Linked DNA regions of Macaca fascicularis. The protein of the gene in region 4 binds, or shares a complex with, the protein of the main gene of each other region. Links are inferred from orthologs where the notes say so. Each region holds a gene or a part of one and is shown on either strand. Other genes may lie near its edges. The genes, in order: SAG, GRK1, GNAT1, RHO and GNAT3.

What was found.
Region 1: the proteins of RHO (region 4) and SAG are in contact, whole or in part, in a crystal structure (PDB 4PXF), measured with the Bos taurus proteins. The link is inferred for Macaca fascicularis from reciprocal best matches to the Homo sapiens genes RHO and SAG. Residues at the interface, in NP_001014890.1 of Bos taurus: Arg135, Val138, Val139, Lys141, Leu226, Glu249, Val250, Met253, Met309, Asn310, Lys311, Gln312; in XP_010802144.1 of Bos taurus: Asp71, Ile72, Met75, Gly76, Leu77.
Region 2: the proteins of RHO (region 4) and GRK1 are in contact, whole or in part, in a cryo-EM structure (PDB 7MT8), measured with the Bos taurus proteins. The link is inferred for Macaca fascicularis from reciprocal best matches to the Homo sapiens genes RHO and GRK1. Residues at the interface, in NP_001014890.1 of Bos taurus: Lys66, Lys67, Arg69, Thr70, Arg135, Val137, Val138, Val139, Lys141, Ser144, Asn145, Phe146, Arg147, Phe148, Glu150, His152, Leu226, Thr229, Val230, Ala233, Gln236, Gln237, Glu239, Thr243, Ala246, Val250, Met257, Ile305, Tyr306, Met309; in NP_776598.1 of Bos taurus: Leu6, Glu7, Thr8, Val9, Val10, Ser13, Ala14, Ile16, Ala17, Ala18, Arg19, Gly20, Asp23, Ala24, Glu184, Asp185, Trp186, Phe187, Leu188, Asp189, Phe190, Val192, Arg195, Glu200, Gln205, Met206, Lys207, Lys221, Arg222, Thr256.
Region 3: the proteins of RHO (region 4) and GNAT1 are in contact, whole or in part, in a cryo-EM structure (PDB 6OYA), measured with the Bos taurus proteins. The link is inferred for Macaca fascicularis from reciprocal best matches to the Homo sapiens genes RHO and GNAT1. Residues at the interface, in NP_001014890.1 of Bos taurus: Leu72, Arg135, Val138, Val139, Lys141, Ser144, Asn145, Phe146, Arg147, Val230, Ala233, Gln236, Gln237, Ser240, Thr242, Thr243, Lys245, Ala246, Glu249, Val250, Met253, Met257, Asn310, Lys311, Gln312; in NP_851365.1 of Bos taurus: Ala27, Arg28, Asp189, Leu190, Val312, Glu314, Tyr316, Asp333, Ala334, Asp337, Ile340, Lys341, Asn343, Leu344, Lys345, Asp346, Cys347, Gly348, Leu349, Phe350.
Region 5: the proteins of RHO (region 4) and GNAT3 are in contact, whole or in part, in a crystal structure (PDB 4A4M), measured with the Bos taurus proteins. The link is inferred for Macaca fascicularis from reciprocal best matches to the Homo sapiens genes RHO and GNAT3. Residues at the interface, in NP_001014890.1 of Bos taurus: Leu72, Arg135, Val138, Val139, Lys141, Thr229, Val230, Ala233, Thr242, Thr243, Lys245, Ala246, Glu249, Val250, Asn310, Lys311, Gln312; in NP_001103452.1 of Bos taurus: Ile344, Asn347, Leu348, Lys349, Asp350, Cys351, Gly352, Leu353, Phe354.

The regions. Positions count from the first base shown.
Region 1 is NC_088386.1:129,260,608-129,264,121, forward strand, and holds part of SAG (S-arrestin), read left to right. Parts: intron 1-1,451; coding exon 1,452-1,496; intron 1,497-3,393; coding exon 3,394-3,514. UniProt on the Homo sapiens protein: Binds to photoactivated, phosphorylated RHO and terminates RHO signaling via G-proteins by competing with G-proteins for the same binding site on RHO. May play a role in preventing light-dependent degeneration of retinal photoreceptor cells.
Region 2 is NC_088391.1:104,065,678-104,069,191, forward strand, and holds part of GRK1 (rhodopsin kinase GRK1), read left to right. Parts: intron 1-1,476; coding exon 1,477-1,634; intron 1,635-3,114; coding exon 3,115-3,198; intron 3,199-3,514. UniProt on the Homo sapiens protein: Retina-specific kinase involved in the signal turnoff via phosphorylation of rhodopsin (RHO), the G protein- coupled receptor that initiates the phototransduction cascade.
Region 3 is NC_088376.1:113,220,099-113,224,209, reverse strand, and holds the start of GNAT1 (guanine nucleotide-binding protein G(t) subunit alpha-1), read right to left. Parts: upstream 2,801-4,111; 5' UTR 2,685-2,800; coding exon 2,579-2,684; intron 1,651-2,578; exon of another isoform or gene 1,420-1,650; intron 1,285-1,419; coding exon 1,242-1,284; intron 1,153-1,241; coding exon 1,011-1,152; intron 912-1,010; coding exon 754-911; intron 672-753; coding exon 543-671; intron 333-542; coding exon 203-332; intron 1-202. UniProt on the Homo sapiens protein: Functions as a signal transducer for the rod photoreceptor RHO. Required for normal RHO-mediated light perception by the retina.
Region 4 is NC_088376.1:153,861,779-153,864,984, forward strand, and holds the end of RHO (rhodopsin), read right to left. Parts: intron 2,673-3,206; coding exon 2,507-2,672; intron 2,391-2,506; coding exon 2,151-2,390; intron 1,326-2,150; coding exon 1,215-1,325; 3' UTR 505-1,214; downstream 1-504. UniProt on the Homo sapiens protein: Photoreceptor required for image-forming vision at low light intensity. Required for photoreceptor cell viability after birth.
Region 5 is NC_088377.1:140,932,609-140,936,122, reverse strand, and holds part of GNAT3 (guanine nucleotide-binding protein G(t) subunit alpha-3), read right to left. Parts: intron 2,112-3,514; coding exon 1,970-2,111; intron 1-1,969. UniProt on the Homo sapiens protein: Guanine nucleotide-binding protein (G protein) alpha subunit playing a prominent role in bitter and sweet taste transduction as well as in umami (monosodium glutamate, monopotassium glutamate, and inosine monophosphate) taste transduction.

The DNA.
Region 1 (3,514 bases), on a different chromosome or scaffold from region 4:
AGCACATGTTTTGTCTATATGTGTGTGTATATATATATACGTGTGTGTATAGATGTATGTATGTTTGAATAGATGTTTTCAATGTATAATTGAGTGAGGAAAGCAGTTAGCTGAACAGTAAGTACAATAGGATCTTTTTTTTCTTAGTAAAAGCATTCATATAATTTTTTTTTTTTTTGAGATGGAGTCTCGCTCTGTCGCCCAGGCTGGAGTGCAGTGGCCAGATCTCAGCTCACTGCAAGCTCCGCCTCCCAGGTTCCCGCCATTCTCCTGCCTCAGCCTCCCGAGTAGCTGGGACTACAGGCGCCCGCCACCTCGCCCGGCTAGTTTTTTGTATTTTTTTTTTTTTTTTTTTTTTTTTTTTTGAGACAGAGTCTCGCTCTGTCGCCCAGGCTGGAGTGCAGTGGCCGGATCTCAGCTCACTGCAAGCTCCGCCTCCCGGGTTTACGCCATTCTCCTGCCTCAGCCTCCCAAGTAGCTGGGACTACAGGCGCCCGCCACCTCGCCCAGCTAGTTTTTTTTTTTTGTATTTTTAGTAGAGACGGGGTTTCACCGTGTTCGCCAGGATGGTCTCGATCTCCTGACCTCGTGATCCGCCCGTCTCGGCCTCCCAAAGTGCTGGGATTACAGGCTTGAGCCACCGCGCCCGGCGCATTCATATAATTAAGTTATATATGTCTGGAAAAATTTTTTTGGGCGGGGGTGCGGGGCAGTGTCTCACTGTCACCCAGGCTGGAGTGCAGTAGCATGGTCACAGCTCACTGCAGCCTCAACCTCCCAGGTTCAAGAAATCCCCCTACCTCCGCCTCTCACGTAGCTGGGACCACAAGCAGGCACCACCATGCCTGGCCCATGCCCTGCTAACTTTTTTTCTTTTTTCTTTTTTATATGTTTTGAGAAAAGATCTGGTTCTATTACCCAGGCTGGAGTCCAGTGGCATGATCATGGCTCACTGCAGACTTGACATCCCAGACTCGAGGGATCCTCCTGCCTCAGCCTCCTGAGTAGTTGGGACTACAGGCATGCACCACCACACCCAGCTAACTTTTTAAATTTTATGTAAAGACAGGCTCTCATTTTGTTACCCAGGCTGCTGCTAATTTTTTAAAAAGCTTTTTGTAGAGACAACGATCTCACTGTGTTGCTCAGGCTGCCCTCAAACTCCTAGGCTCGAGCAGTCCCCCTGCCTCGGCCTCCCAAAGTGCTGGGATTACAGGCATGAGCCACCACACCTGGCCTGGAAAAATAAAATAAAAGTCTGCACCGAGAGCTTCACAATAGGTATTTTTAGGTGGTAGGAATTTGGATGACTTTTTGCCCTTAACTTTTCTTTCTTTCTTATAATGAACATGGATTACATGTGCAATTAAAAACATACATAGTTTTTAAAGTAGGTGTCTGGTTTCTTTGATCTTCTCCACCCTCACTGCTCTCTCCCTCTTTTGCCTTAGATGGTGTCGTGTTGGTTGATCCTGACCTCGTGAAGGGAAAGAAAGGTGAGATGAAGCCCCTTGTCTCAGGCTGGTTTCTGGGTGGAGTGGGCTGCTCTCTGGGCGGCTCTGGGAAGGGGCATTTACGTGGAAGGAGAAACAGGAAGGCAGAGGCAGTGCTCTTGCACATGGAACCAGTGCCAGGCCCGTTGACCCACACTCCCGTACTTAATTCACGTGACATAGGTCCCGTTGACACCAGAGCTCACTCGCTCAGCAAAGTCATTGTCCAGGGTGGCAGATAAGTAGATGGTAGATGGAGCCCAGGTCTGTGGCCCCCATCGGTGTGTGCTAACCCCTGTATCGTGTACTTCTGTGCTAGGGGCAAACTCAGGAGGGCGCCTGGGCTGCCTCGGACTCAGGAGGACACCAGACCTTGAATGAATGAGGGCAGAGTGAGTGGACAGTGTTTCTTCCGAGTCAGTGGCGAGGGGCAGTTACTGTTGGGGCTGACGGGCAAAATTCTCAACCAACACTAAAAAGGGGCAAATGATGCCTGCCGGGACACAGGGGGAGTAAGACCCGGAATTTATGATGGCGCTTACTTTGATGGTTCTGAACCAGTGTCACGGTGCCCTTGAAGATTTCTGGCAGTTTTGATGTGTGTGGTAAGTAATTTGTTACTAATAACAGTTGCGTAAACCAAATTAGAACAGATTCCAGCTATCCTTGTGATAATGTCACTGACTCAGTTCCATTCTAAATATGCCTTTTTGAGTGTTGCTACTGGCAACATCAAGGAATTGTTGAGAACCCTGGATGTGCCACTGGAATATGTCAGCTGTGGGGCCATCAGCATCAAGAGGGGCATGGCTGAAATGGGGCCCCAAACGGCCCCCTCTGTCCTCTCCACCTTCCTCCTGGATGCCCTGCTCCTCTCTGGACCAGGAGACATATGGGTGCCCTGCTCCTCTCTGGACCAGGAGACATCTGGGTGCCCTGCTCCTCTCTGGACCAGGAGACATCTGAAAGCCCATGTCCTTGACCAGAGAAGGGCGCCTGTTCTCAGGGAAAGCCACAGCACAGGACAGCTGTCAAACTGGGTAGTCTCTGGGCACCTTCTTAGTCCTGACTTTGAATGAGGGGCGAGTGAGTGGCCACCATTTCTTCTGAGTCAGCAGCGAGGGGCAGTTACCTTTGAGGCTGACAGGCAAAATTCTCAACCAACAGCCGCCACGCACTTGGAGGGGCCACCTCTGACGCGCTTTATATTTGAGAGATACATGCTTTGTGTCTTTTTTAGAAGGCGTAGTGAACTTCCATACAATTCTTTTAGTCCACTGGGCGCGCACTTTAAGTCTGTTCAACAAGTGGAATTTTCAGAAGTGGGGGTTTGGAGCACGCTCAGTATGTTTCAGAGCACTGTGAAAAGGAGGCTGGAACTCGAGCCTTCTCAAGTTGGACTTCGCCTCCCCATGTGGCCTGTGAGCCTTCTGGTTCCTCGTTTAGCCCACGATTAACTCTGGCCCACATCTGCTTGGCTGCCCAGCACTGTTTCCCTCTGCATCTTACCTTCTTCCTTCATTCGTCCAGACATCCTGCCCGCCAGAACGTGAGCAGCCAGCACTGTCTCAAAGCCTCTGAGGCCACGGAGCTAGGGAATGAAGGGGGCGGGCAGGATGGAGGGGACTGGGTCCTCTGTCTGCAGATTCCTACCATTCTGACAACATGACACAATTGGGAGGGAGATGCCAGGATCTCCGGTTAGAGTGGTGAACCCTCACGAAGGGGCTGATTCTCCAGAGCGGTGTGGAGTAGCTGAGTGGCAGGGTTCTCTCCAGTCCCAACCCGCATCCTTTCCAGATGCTAAAAGTTGAAAACCCGGGCCCGCTACCCACTCCATCAGTGGTGGTGGGTGCCAGGCCGAGTGCCAAGTCCAACCCTGCCTTCATCTCCTTTGCAGTGTATGTCACTCTGACCTGCGCCTTCCGCTATGGCCAAGAGGACATTGATGTGATCGGCCTGGCCTTCCGCAGGGACCTGTACTTCTCCCGGGTCCAGGTGTACCCTCCTGTGGGGGCTGC
Region 2 (3,514 bases), on a different chromosome or scaffold from region 4:
AGGGCCTTGCACCAGGAGAGTAAATGAAGATGAAGTTCACCAGCGCCCGCCCATTCCTGGGGCTGACGCTGGAGCTGGAGACAAGATCAGGCCAGCTGGGGCCATGGCCTTCCTGCTTTCTGGCAGAGAGGAGGTGGTGCTGCCTCCACAAAGTCCTGGCCCCGGATCCATCACCGAGGCAGGCCCCAGGCCCGTGTGGGAGATCAGATCACAGGCTCGCTTGGTACCTGGGCCGCTTAGCCATTGCTTGGTTCTGTTTCCTGGTCTATAAAATGGGAAGAGATAATATCTAAGTTGAAAGATTGTTTGGCCAGGCGCGGTGGCTCAAGCCTGTAATCCCAGCACTTTGGGAGGCCAAGACAGGTGGATCACAAGGTCAGGAGATCGAGACCATCCTAGCTAATGCGGTGAAACCCCGTCTCTACTAAAAAAATACAAAAAAACTAGCTGGGCGAGGTGGCGGGCGCCTGTAGTCCCAGCTACTCGGGAGGCTGAGGCAGGAGAATGGCGTGAACCCGGGAGGTGGAGCTTACAGTGAGCCGAGATCCTGCCACTGAATTCCAGCCTGGGCAACAGAGCAAGACTCCGTCTCAAAAAAAAAAAAAAAAGAAAAAAAAAAAGAAAGATTGTTGGAAGATTAACAGTGTCTGATACCCCTAAGGTTGGGGATGGGCAGGGGCCATGGCTGTGGTTGGCAGCACCATGCCCCATTCTCACCTGCTTTTAATTTCCAAGGAAACTCCTTCAGGTGAGGCTGGTGGCCCATTTTTCAGATGAGGAATGTGAGTCCAGACTAAGTCACCATGCCAGGTGCCCAGGCGGAGGGGAGGGGGCGCCGGGAAGCACACACACGGGGGTGCCCAGGCAGAGGGGAGGGGGCGCTGGGAAGCTTAGTCACAGGGGTGCCCAGGGAGGGCCTGGTGGCTCCGGCCGCCTCATGATCCACCTGGCTCCAGGGCCTCCTCTCCTGTTTCCTGCGACTATACTCCTGGTGCCACCTAGTTTAAATAGTTTATTTTATTTGTTAGGTTTTGCTTCTCTGCAAAACCTGTCCACGGAAAACATAAGAAATGATGTTTTATGGGGGAGGAAAGAGGCTGAGAAGAAACACCTTGCTGCAAATCCTTCACGAGTCTGATGAACTCGGGGCCTGCGGAGCTCCATCCCGCCTCAGCCTGGCCTCTTCCTGAGACGGTCTGGGCTGTTTTCCAGCACCTGCAGCCCACGCCAGGAAGCATGGGGACAGGAGACACACGTGGACGGCACTTTCTCCCCGTTAGCCGTTGGGGTTCGGGGTCCCTGAGCTGCTAACGCCGCCAGCCACCATGGCCTCGGGGTCTCCTCTGCAGGGACGCTGGGGGGCCAGGCCTCAAAACGACCAGAACGCTGGCTGGTTCTGAGGTCCCCGCTCTGTCTTTCCATGATTTTACTCCCCATTAAACCCGGGGCACATGGCTCCCGCGTGTCTGCCCCCAGGTACCACATCTACAACGTGAATGAGGAGAATCCCGGCTTCCCGGAGCCGCGTGCCGTCTTCTACACGGCGCAGATCATCTGCGGCCTGGAGCACCTGCACCAGCGGCGGATCGTCTACCGTGACCTCAAGCCTGAGAATGTGCTGCTGGACAACGACGGTAGGCAGCGCCCGCGGCGGTGAGGGATGGGGGCTCCGAGGACGGCGGGGCGCAGCTTCCCTGGAGGTCTCTGCACAACCTCACGAGGGTTGACAGCTGCGTGGACAGCGGGGGTGTCATTGGGCACCAGGAGTCACGGGAGTGAGTGCAGGGGTCTGCGGTGCAGAACTAGCTGGGAATGGTGAGTCTGCTAGGCCCAGTCCCCACCTTCCTTCTGCCTGAATGAGGCATCACACAGGGATTCTTCTCAGAAATAAACACAAGGGTTTAGGCTCCCGACGCTGGCAGGTCAGGCAAGTGCGAGACACGCACCAGGGCCCAAGAGAGTGTGGGGGGCTGGGATGGGAGGATCCCGGTGGGCAACACCCACGCCTAGCTGCAACACGACCGGCCCTCTTCCCTACACCCTGCGCCCTTCACCGTCAGCCAGGGAGCCGCTGTCATGTGCATGGTGTGTGCTGTGTACGTGTATGTGGTTTGTGGGGTGTGTGTTGTGTGTGAGGTATGTGTGTGGCATATGGTGTGTATGTGTGGTGTGTGATTGTGTGGTATGTCTGGTGTGTGTGGTGTAAGTCTGGGGTGCTGGGGCCTCGTGGTCACTTGGTATGTGTATGTGTGGTGCGAGATATCTGGTGTGGTACGTGGTATGTGTGGTATTGTGTGTGGCGTGTGTGTGTGTGGTATCTGTATGATGTGGTATGTGGTATGTCTGGTATTGTGTGTGGTATGTGTGGTATTGTGTGTGGCACGTGTGTGTGAGGTGTGTATGTAGTCTTTGGTTGTTGGTGTGTGCTGTGTGTGTGGTCTGTGGAATGTGGTGTGTGTGGTATGTGAGTGTGCAGTGAGTGTGGTGTGTCTGAGACCATGTGGGTTGTGTGTGGTGTGTCTGTGAGTTTGGCTGGGGAGGGGAGGATCATGGGCACTGGGTGGTGCTTATGGCTGTTTGGTGTGTGTGTATGTTTGTGGTGTGGTCATGGGGTGTGTGTGTGGGGTGTGTGTGTATGTGTTTGTGGTGTGGTGGTGGGGTGTGTGCATGTGAGTCTGGCTAGGGAGGGGAGGCTTCTGGGCTCTGGGACCTCATGGCTGCCTGGTATGTCTGTGTGTGGTGTGTGTCTGTGATATGTGTGTGTGTGGTGTGGTATGTGTGGTATGGTCTATGTGGTCTGCGTGTGGTATGGTATGTATAGTGTAGTAGTGGTGTGTCTGTGTGGTATGGTGTGGGTGTGTGGTGTGATCTGTGTAGTGTGTGTGGTGTGTAGTGTGTGTGTGGTGTGATCTGTGTGTGTGTGGTGTCCATGGTGTGTGTTGTGATCTGTGTGGTGTGTGGTGTTCGTGGTGTGTGTGTGTGTGGTGTCTGTGGTGTGATCTGTGTGGTGTGTGTGGTGTAGTGTGTGTTGTGTGTGTGCGTTTGTGTGAAGGTGGCTCTGGGCTCACTGGTACCTGTGCAGCCAGGGGTGACTCCACTGTGTCTGCCTCTCAGGCAATGTCCGGATCTCTGACCTTGGGCTGGCTGTGGAGCTGCTGGATGGGCAGAGCAAGACCAAGGGCTATGCAGGGACCCCAGGTAAGGGTCTGAGCACAGCTGGGGAGGCTCTGTGCATGTGTGCATCCCTGTGTACATGTGTGTCTGTGTGCACATGCATGTACGTGTGAGTTTGTGTATATATGTGTGTGTGCACATCATGTACATGTGAGTTTGTGTGTATATGTGTGTCTGCACATCATGTACATGTGAGTTTGTGTATATATGTGTGTGCACATCACATATATGTGAGTTTGTGTATATATGTGTGCCTGTGTGCACATCACGTACATGTGAGTTTGTTATATATGTGTGTGTACATCACGTACATGTGAGTTTGCGTATATATGTGTGTCTG
Region 3 (4,111 bases), about 41 Mb from region 4:
CGTGGGGCTTCCTGTTAAGCTGGCTCTCAGAGGGCGCCCGGCACTGCCCCAGATGGGCCTGCTGAACGCCTACCGGCCTCCTCAGGCTGCCCGGGACCAGCATCCCCTCCCGGGCCCTCCCCACGCCCAGCGCGCCGTCTCCGCCTCCAGGGGCCAGCAACTCCTCCTCGCCCCTGGAACACAGGCCCTGCCTGGCACCCACCACTTCGTCGTCCTCCACCAGCACCATGTCGTAGGCGCTCAGCGCCGCGATGAAGATGATGCAGGTCACGCCCTCGAAGCAGTGGATCCACTTCTTGCGCTCCGAGCGCTGCCCGCCCACATCGAACATCCTGCGGGGCCGCGGGGGCCTGAACCCGCGCCCTGGGCCTAACAGGGAGCATCCCCTCGCCCTGTGCTGGTCGGGGAGCTCTCTGCTGGGACTACTACCCTTTCTGCTGGCGGGATATCCAGGAAGGGGCAGGGTCTATCGCAGGGATGGGGTCCCCGGGGCAGGACGGGGCCTGGGGCAGTGACCTCCCGGGCTGGCATGTGGGTCGTACCGGAAGTTGAGGTCCTTGAAGGAGAACTGCGTCTCGATGATGCCAGTGGTCTTGACTCGCGAGCGCAGCACATCCTGCTCTGTGGGCACGTAGCCCGGGGTTACCAGGCGCTCCAGGTCGGAGAGGTAGCTGCGCGAGACCGGGCCGTGGGTGGGTGGGGAGGCGTGGAGGGCCCCCTGCGCCCCGCGCCCCGCGCTGCCCACGCGCTCACTAGCCCGCCGAGTCGTTGAGCTGGTACTCCGAGGCGCGCTCAAAACAGGCCTGGATACCGGAGTCCTTCCACAGCCGCTGGATGATGTCCGACATCTCCTTGGGCATCGTGCCCTCCTCTATGGTGTCTGCCATGTGCATCAGCTTCCGGGCGTCGTCCTGGGGGCAGGGTGAGAGTGGCTGGTGGCGGCCAGGGACTCGGGCCCAGCCACGAGCCTCGAGTCCCCAGAGGCCCGCTCAGCCCGCCTCCTGGCACACCTGGCGTGCAGAGTCTCCGTACTGGATGTTGAGTGTGGTCATGGCGCGCACGATGGCCAGGATGGACTGCAACGTGTTGCCGTAGATGATGGCGATGAACTCGAGGCACTCTTCCAGCGAATACCCGTCCTGGTGGATAATCCTGAGGCCGAGGCGAGCAGGGTCAGAGCCTCGTGGGGAAGTGGGGAAGGACCCAGCCCCAGGGACCTCGGGACAGGCAGGGGCACTCACTTCATCTGCTTGACGATGGTGCTCTTCCCGGACTCACCCGCACCTGAAAGGGAAGCGGCGCCTCAGAGCTGCGCTGACCGCCTGCCCCCTCCCCCAAGGAGGCCGGGAGGACCGTTGTCAGGGTGGACCGGCAGCGAAGAGGCCTGAGCGTCAGCCCCCACCCCGTAGCCACACCTACCCACCCCGTCCAAAGTAAGTCCTGACACCCTGAAGGCACAAGGTTTGCAAATGTCAGGAAAGTGAAGAAAGGAAGCCAACGAGGGGAATCAACGACCTCAACTGTTCTGGGACAGGGAGGCCCCAAGACACCGACACAGGCAGCCTTTATTATGCTGTGAGACTGCAATGAAGAAATCCCGAAGCGCCATCGCCACCTCGTGGGAGCCTCTGGCACCGCATGCACTGGGTTATTTGAGGCGGGTAAATCCCTTGCTTTTCACCTGAAGGGATGCGGGTGTCTCCAAGAGGCTCAGAGGGAATTAGCGCCTTTGGGTAGCAGGGAGGGCAGAGTTGACATCCTTTCTGAGCTTGCCCCTGCGAGGGCGTTGGGCACAGTTAATGAGATTTCTGGCTTAGCCTCTCTGCCTTGGGGGAAAGTGGGACTGGCTTGGTCCCTCACCCACCTCCAGCTGGTTGACCAGACTCTGGGGAGCTTGGGTGGAGCCTGCCCGGCCCTCTTGAAGCTGCTCTTTCCCCTTGAGAGGTCAGACAGTGACCTTGAGGCAGGCCTGGATCAGCCCCGTCTCTTCTCACTGCCCACGGTCTGGTGGACACGGCTTTATCTACTCCCACTGGGCCTCAGCACCTGCCAGACCCGTTGGCTGCTTTGTAGGTCTACCAGCCACAGCCCTCTGGCACCTGAGGGCCATTCTTTGTGGATCTGGGTGGTTCTAGAGACTCCCCACCCCCAGGAGGACTATGACCATCCCCTTCCCAAAGTAGCAGCCCAATAACGGGCTCCCAGTGAGGCCCCTGGCTTCTGAGCACTGCCCAGCAGGCCTACCAAACCAAAGGCTGCATGACGCTTGTGGGAGCCCAGCCACAGAAAAGTCAGCCTCACACACTCGTGCAAGAGTGTGGTTGGCACGCACTTCTGGAGGGTGGGTCACCTGAGGCAGAGCCGTCTGGAGAGGGGCTTCATGGGATGTCCAGCCTTGGGGGAATAGGACACCACCTGTCAGGCCTGGCCTTGCTTGGCCAGGGCTCCCACCCTGTGCCCTACTCTGTTGCAGGCTCATATTGCTTCCCAGGGAACCCTTGCTTCACAGAAGGGCTGCCTGCCTGCCTCCAGACCAATGATCTGGTGGCAGTGGCCCCACCAGGGCCCACACCCCTACCCAGAAGCAGCAACTTCACGGTTCGAGCATCCTTCTCAGCATCCTCTTTCAGCTTCTTTTCCAGCTCCCTGGAGTGCTTCTCCTCAGCACTGGCCCCAGCCCCCATGGTCCCAGCAGCAGGTGAAGGGACAGAGTGAGCAGGTGGTTCTTCTGGATGGAGGGGATCCTCAGAACCTGGCCTCCCAGGCACCCTTCTGGCCCCAGGAGGACCTGCAATCAACTGGCTCTCTACGGACCTGTGCAGTCCCTAGTGGGGCTACTTAGTGGGATTTGGGGGCTAGGGGTGTCCAAGAGCCAATCAGAGACAAGGACAGGTGAATCCAGCTCAGCCCCCCCAACCCTTCTAATCAGGCTGGCATAGCCCCAATCCCTCAACCGCTGACTCTGCACTCCTGCTGTCCTTCTGCCCCCCTCCACCCTTCAGGAGAGGCCCTGGTGCTGCCTGGGAGTGGGTAGAATCAGGGCTGAGAAAGGGGAAGGCAGAAACTTGAGCCCTGGGGGTGAGGACGATGGAGGTGGAGCTGGCAGTGAGAGGGCATAATTGGGAGAAACATGCCTGCTGCCTGCCCAGCACCGGGCTCAGCACCACTCCTTATCTTGTTGTAAGCTCACACTGGCCCTGGAGGATAGATGCCCATGTCATCAGCCTCATTTTACTGATGAGGAAGTAGAGGCTCAAAGCGTCACACAGGAGGAAGTGGTTAAGAAGGGCTGGGTGACACTGGACTGGGATTTTATGACCTGCAGGGAATCCAGAGAGAGGGAAACAGTGGGCATTGCATTCATCCCATAATCCCATATCACAGGCTGGAGCTACCCCAAAGAGGTCCTCGGCTTCCAGCGGACTCTGGTGGGCATGCATATCTTCTCTGTGTGCCTTGGTGTATGTGTCTTTTTTTTTTTTTTGGACGGAGTCTAGCTCTGTTGCTCAGGCTGGAGTGCAGTGGCACGATATTGGCTCACGGCAAGCTCTGCCTCCCGGGTTCACGCCATTCTCCTGGCTCAGCCTCCCAAGTAGCTGGGACAACAGGCGCCCACCACCACATCGGGCTAATTTTTTGTATTTTTAGTAAAGACAGGGTTTCACCGTGTTAGCCAGGATGGTCTCGATCTCCTGACCTCATGATCCACCCGCCGTGGCCTCCCAAAGTGCTGGGATTACAGGCGTGAGCCATCGTGCCCAGCATTTTTTTTTTTTTTTTTTAAGATGGAGTCTCGCTCTGTCACCCAGGCTGGAGTGCAGTGGCCGGATCTCAGCTCACTGCAAGCTCCGCCTCCCGGGTTTACGCCATTCTCCTGCCTCAGCCTCCCAAGTAGCTGGGACTGCAGGCGCCCGCCACCTTGCCCGGCTAGTTTTTTTTTTTTTTTTTTTTTTTTTGAGACGGAGTCTCGCTGTGTCTCCCAGGCTGGAGTGCACTGGCGTGATCTCGGCTCACTGCAAGCTCCGCCTCCCGGGTTCACGCCATTCTCCCGCCTCAGCCTCCCAAGTAGCTGAGACTACAGGCGCCCGCCACCACACCCGGCTAGTTTTTT
Region 4 (3,206 bases):
AGGTGGGCCCAGTGGAATTTCCCACTCTTTGTTTCTAAGCTCTTTGAGATAAGGATGACATCAGGGACTCAGCTGTTCATTAAATGTGGGCCGGTGAGCATATCTTCCAGAGGCTCCATGCTGTAGATGCTGGGGCCCAGGTGCTAGGGCAAAAGAGCAGGTAACTTCCAGAGGCTGAGAGAAAGGCGTGTCTCTCCATAAGCCACACTGGGAAGGGGAGGCACGGGGTCTGGGGCCTCACAGTAGGGGTGATACCCCAGGCCCAATCTCACCCTCACTGAGAACTTGGCCTTCATCGCCCCACTCCCCCAATGTTGTTTTTTCAGGTGTGATGACTGCATTCTGCATTCCTGTGACTGTCCTTGTCTGCAGCCCAGCCCCAGCCCTGGTCTGGCCTTGACGCCTAGCTAATTTTTAAAAACCTGCCCCGAGGCTGGGTGAAACCCCATCATCCGAATGCCCAGTCTCAGAATGTTCACAATCAGGAGGTGATAATCATAATAATTAACTAGTTACATTAATTGATGTTATTCACAACATGAACTAGAATCTGTACAGCTCTTGCTATTTACAAGGTGCTGAAACACACACATAGACACACACACACACACACACACACACACACACCTCTTTTGGTCCTCTCAGTAGCTGCGTGTCGGCAGGACCAGGAATCTGGGATTTCCATTTTATAGGGGAAGAAAGTGAGGCCCAGGGAGGGAAAAACAACTGCTCCTTATCATTAGCCAAGTATGAGTTGCTGCTGCTAAGAGGGTCTGAGAGGATAGATATGTTCTCCCTTCGCTTTCATTCCTCCATTCCTTCCTGCATCCATCCAGCATTTATTAAGCACCTACTGTGTGCCCCATTCTGTGCTAGACACTTATCCCTAAGCTGGGACACTTTTCCAGAAAGCAAGAATCCTCATGTTCCTGAAAGATGAGCTGGGAGGAGGAGGGGCACAGATCCCACTGGCCTTGGGGAACCTGGGACTCCAGATCAGTAGGTGTTGGTGGATGTCCCTTCTCAGGCTGTCCCGGGTGAGTGAGGAGCCTCATTTTTCTCTCATTAATTATTTCTTTAAAAAAAAAAATGAAGGAGCCTATGTGACTTCGTTCATTCTGCACAGGCGCTGCTCCTGGTGGGATGGCTGTGGCTGGGGGAGGGTGTGGGGGACGGGAGACGCCTACAGTCGGCCACAGCGTCCTAGGCAGGTCTTAGGCTGGGGCCACCTGGCTAGTCTCCGTCTTGGACACGGTGGCAGAGGCCTCATCGTCACCCAGCGGGTTCTTGCCGCAGCAGATGGTGGTGAGCATGCAGTTCCGGAACTGGAAGGCAAGAGGCTTGAGTCAGGGCCAGGGCTGCCCACAGTGTGCTTGGAACTGGCACGTTAGTGAGGTTTGCCCCAACCTTTTCCCTGCTTCTGCCCCTCACAGTTCCAGCGCCCCGTCCACTCAAATCTGGCTTCCTGGAGGAAACTTGCTAAGCAGACGCTCCTCACCCCTAGAGATGCCAGGGACCCAGCACGAGAGGGCTGTGTCGCCCATGACATTTCATGGTGCCCTCTGTGTGCCAAGGGTGTTCTGTAAATTATCTCCTGTAATCTGAGAGTTGGGTGTTTTGCCCTTTCTATGGATGAGGAAACCAAAGCACAGAGAGGGGAATTGACTTGCATGGGGTCACATAGTTAGAAAATGGCAGAGCTGACTTCAGAGACTGTTTACCCCAACTTCTGAGTTCCTTGGAGAGGAACCTTTACCCCTTTACCCCTTTACCCCTCAGAATAAGACTTTTTAGCTCCTTATTCAGCTTTATGGAGACTGGCCCATCCATTCCCCTCTTGGGACCTTCTGACTTTGACATTGGGCTTCCAGAACTATCTGGACTAGAGCTTCTCCCACCTCAGTGAGCATCTGAGCCACCTGTGGAGAGCTTGTTGGAAATGTAGGTTCCTAGGCCCTCCCTGAGATTCAGCAGATCTGGGTGGGGCCAGGAATCTGCATTTCTCACACACTCCCCATTGAGACTGCTGACCCAAGACTGCTGCCAGTAGCCCTGATGGAGCCCCCTCCCCTGCCCTGGGACGCAGTTTGTCCTTGGCAGGCAGTGCCTGTGGTCTGGGACACTGGGGCCCTCCCACCCGCAGTAGGCACCTGCTTGTTCATCATGATATAGATGACAGGGTTGTAGATGGAGGCGCTCTTGGCAAAGAACGCTGGGATGGTCATGAAGATGGGACCGAAGTTGGAGCCCTGGTGGGTGAAGATGTAGAATGCCACGCTGGCATAGGGCACCCAGCAGATCAGGAAAGCGATGACCATGATGATGACCATGCGAGTGACCTCCTTCTCTGCCTTCTGTGTGGTGGCCGACTCCTGCTGCTGGGCAGCGGCCTGCAAGACAAGGGGCCCGGGTCCAGACCATGGCTCCTCCAGGGAGCAGGAGCCGCAGATACATGCTGGGGGCTGGACTGTCAGAGCCGTGAGGCTGCCCACTCCCCGGCCCATACCTCCTTGACGGTGAAGACGAGCTGCCCGTAGCAGAAGAAGATGACAATCATGGGGATGGTGAAGTGGACCACGAACATGTAGATAACAAAGGACTCGTTGTTGACCTCTGGCTTGAGCGTGTAGTAGTCAATTCCGCACGAGCACTGCAAGCCCTCGGGGATGTATCTGAGGACGGGCAGGTAGGGAGAACCCGCCTGTGAGGGACTTGGCCAAGGCGCCTGCCGAGCGCTGGCCCTTTCTGGGGCTTCACATTCCCTTCCTGGAAAAGGGGATCATAAGCGTCTGCATGGCTGGGTGACGGGATGGAATATGGATCAGATGGGGATGCAGACGCACCTTGTGGAATCAGTGTCGCTTCACTGGTGGCTGCGGTACCAGATGATACCACCCAGCCTCTCCCGGCATGCCCAGCCCCAGCATCCACTGCCCTCTGAGCCTAGGGTTATGCCAGGCAGAGGTTGGTGAGGAGGAGGGGAGGCTCTGTATTTGAGGCAGTTTGTATAAACTGAGGTTTTCCTAGCCCCAGGGCGAGAGTATTTTCCAGGTCAAAGATGGACACACAGGGTATCTAAGGGATCTTTGTGCAGCTTCTGGAAACAAGAGGTTTCCAGGGCACATTGTTAGGATGTGGCAGTGGTTCCTGATATTGGTGACAGTTGACTGGCCTCAGGAAACCCAGAGCGTCCAGAGGCTGTGCTT
Region 5 (3,514 bases), on a different chromosome or scaffold from region 4:
TTGAGATTATAGGCGTGAGCCACCACACCAGGTCAAAGCTCAGGTCTTTAGTGATCAGAGCATCACTGTTTCACAAACTCTGGGTCATATGAAGGATACAGTATAATTAAATAAGTAGCAATAGGCAAGGTGATTTCCAACTTCTCTGACACAAATGCATGGAATACCATATTGCATCTACAAATTTAAACATCATTAAATCATTCTCAAAGGAATTAAGAAGGTACATCTATTTTAGTGACTATTATTGCCTAAGATAAAAAGATAAAATATTTCTAATCATTAAATCCCTTAAAAGCAAAAAGCACTATAATGGAATCCAGGAGAAGTGGGTTTTGCCATGAACTCTAGCTACTTAATGTAAACCAACTAATCTTCTTTGATCCTTGTTTTTTAAATTAAGGTGGTTATACTATGTTGTCTCTTAAGAGTCAATTTAAAATCCTAGTATCTTAGAAAAAGCCAAGGTTCAGATCCATAACTGAACTACACTTAAATAAGAACATGATCACTAAGTCATAGAGAGATAAAGAATAAAAGGATCTTGGAGTTCACCTCCTCCAAGTTCCCCTTATTTATTTATTTATTTATTTTATTATACTTCAAGTTCTAGGGTACATGTGCATAACGTGCAGGTTTGTTACATATGTATACTTGTGCCATGTTGGTGTGCTGCACCCATCAACTCGTCAGCACCCATCATAGGTGGGAACTGAACAATGAGATCACTTGGACTCGGGAAGGGGAACATCAAGTTCCCCTTTTACACATGAGTGGGAAACTGTAGCCAGAGAGATAGATTGGAGCAAACTGTGGAGAAAACTAGAAATGGGAATCAGTAAAATATCTGACTCCTCGCTTTATAAACTATCTGCCTGAAGACCATACTTAGCATTTCTTTGTTCTTTGAAGAAAAGTGACAAGAAAAAGGGGGATTTCCCCTTTCTTTACATTAAGAGCATGGAAAAGCCGCCTTTGTTTGTTTGTTTTAATTGTAATGATTTCTAGTGGTCATTTACAAGATCCAGTGGCCATTTACAAGGTCCACTAAGCTGGTTGAGGGAGTTCAAATGACTCCTCTTTCTTTATCCTTACTATGCTTTTGTTCTCTATTTTTATTGTTTCTATAGCAAGGTTTCCAAGAATTACATTGGTAGGCATTCAACTGGCATCCTCTGGAGGTAACCAGATGCCCAGCTGCTCCTGGAGGGGACATATGGAAATAGGTGAGTTCTTCTTGTGGATTCTACTCAGTTTCTCTTTTTTGGGTGGGGTCAACTATGGTTCTTTGGATAATACTGTAAGTTTCATTTGCCAAATATTTTTATATATTTGCCTATAAACTTTTAAAGTAAGTGGATTTCAAATATATTTTAATATAAAATAACTATATAGCAAAATATAAAGTAGGGAGAAAATAATTTTGTTGTTACCTTACAAACAGAACTATGACTACTTGAATATACTTAATATACAACCATTTGCTTGCTCCTACAATTTGAATTCTTTTTTAAAAAACTTAGCATTATAATCATTTCCCTGTTGCCACGCAGACTTTGTAATCATCATCAAACATTAATCATAATTATTGCGTTATTATTAAACATTGTTAGTCTCTTTGAAATGACATAACTAAAAAATTAATGTAGAGATATTGCAAATTGTGTTTATGCCATAAACTTTTGCATTTAGCAATCGTAAACAATATTTTTGTTTCTTATGGTGTATTATTTGATATTAAGTTTAATCCTCAGGAAAACAACTAATGTTGAATAACAGTATACAGTAAAAAAGTTTCACTTCAAGGAAAATAAGAAATCTTACACAAAACATAATTAATGTTTCAAAATTCATGTTTCATATTTTTAAATTTTGGGTATAGATTAATACTATGAACTTATTAAGTCCTCTTATTTTGTGGCTCAAACTCTATTGCAGGACATACAGCTGTCATTATTTGCATACTTACTGCACTTCTGGGATTTACATAATCAATTCCAAGGGTAGTCATGGCTTTCACAATAGCTAGGATGGATTGCAATGTATTACTGTAAATTACTGCTTTGAACTCCATGCATTCTTGCTCACTGTAACCATTCTTATGGATGATCCTATAATTTAAACATGAAAAGTTTCTGTGAGTTGAATAATTGATTGTAACACTAAAGCACATCAAAATAAGTTACTTGAATACAATTATAGTATATTTTCATTAAAAAGGAATTTTGACCATATGTATATGCTAAATCTAAACAATTTTATGCCTTTGGACTTTCATTATCATTGTCATTCATACAATATTTTCTTTCTGGGCTACCATGATAAATACAAAAGGACTTAGGATTTGTTATTTTAACATACTTTTCTGAAACGAGTAAATCATAAGCATTATACTTAGAAAGCCTGTTTTTTGTTTTTGTTTTTGTTTTTAAGAAAAAAAAATTATAGATTCTCAGGACAAAGATATATTCACAGTTTTGAAACTTGGCCTTGTGTCCACAACCTGATGTCTAGAGGAAGTTAAGTCATTTAGAACATTCATGACTTTTCCTATCATGCTGGAAAATAGGAGTGCCTTCCTTCTATTTACAGCATCAACAAAGGCATCTTTTTTAGTACAGGTAATTGCCCTGTGTTAAATCTCTTGTCAGTTCTCCATCTGTGTACGTGCCACTGAGTTATAAAAGTTGAAATGCCTGACATTTTATTTGGCTGAACTCTTCTCTACCTTCCACTCATTCAGCCAAACTCAAGATTTTACTAGAAGTTTTGGAATAATAGCTTAAAATAGATTTACCTATCAAAAGCTAAAGTCATTACATGTGCCAGTTACGTATTTTTGCATCTTTATTGTAGAATTGTTTTTGTTCCTTTCTATAATGTTTTAATTGTCTTGAAGTGCTTTGTATTCGTTAGGCGTCTTTTTGGATGTCATATTACTAAATGTTTATATTGTGTCTACACGTATAAAGGCTTTAGCATAGAGGGGAAAAGAGCACAAATGCCTCTTTAATGTCTTTGAAGATATTAGAACCTTCATATACAAGAAATCTCAACTGAAAGAAGTAAAAGCAGGGCCTATATTTGTTATTTGTTGTTTTTTTTATTTGATTACAAATCATTGCTGAACTTCTATGTTAAACATGGTCATGTCTATCTTGCTGCATTGAATCATTAAATAACTTAAGTAAATAAAGTAGACAAAGACTGTAGAAAAAATGCAGTAAAATGTCTTTATGGATAGATCAAGAATAAGTTTACTAAAGAAATCCCAGTTTTCTGTCAAATTGAACTTGGAAAATTATTTTAATTATTAAAATGGCAACTGTGAATAAACGTGGGGTACTTAGGTGTTCTTCATGAAACAAGTTCTGACTGCTATCAGAAGTGAAGAAACATTTATCACAAAGAAAAATTATAAAAACAGATGTTAAAATGTCCAGTTGAAGTGGGACTTTAAACAACATCATTTTTCCAGGAGCTGCATATATCAATTTCTGTGAGACAGTGCACT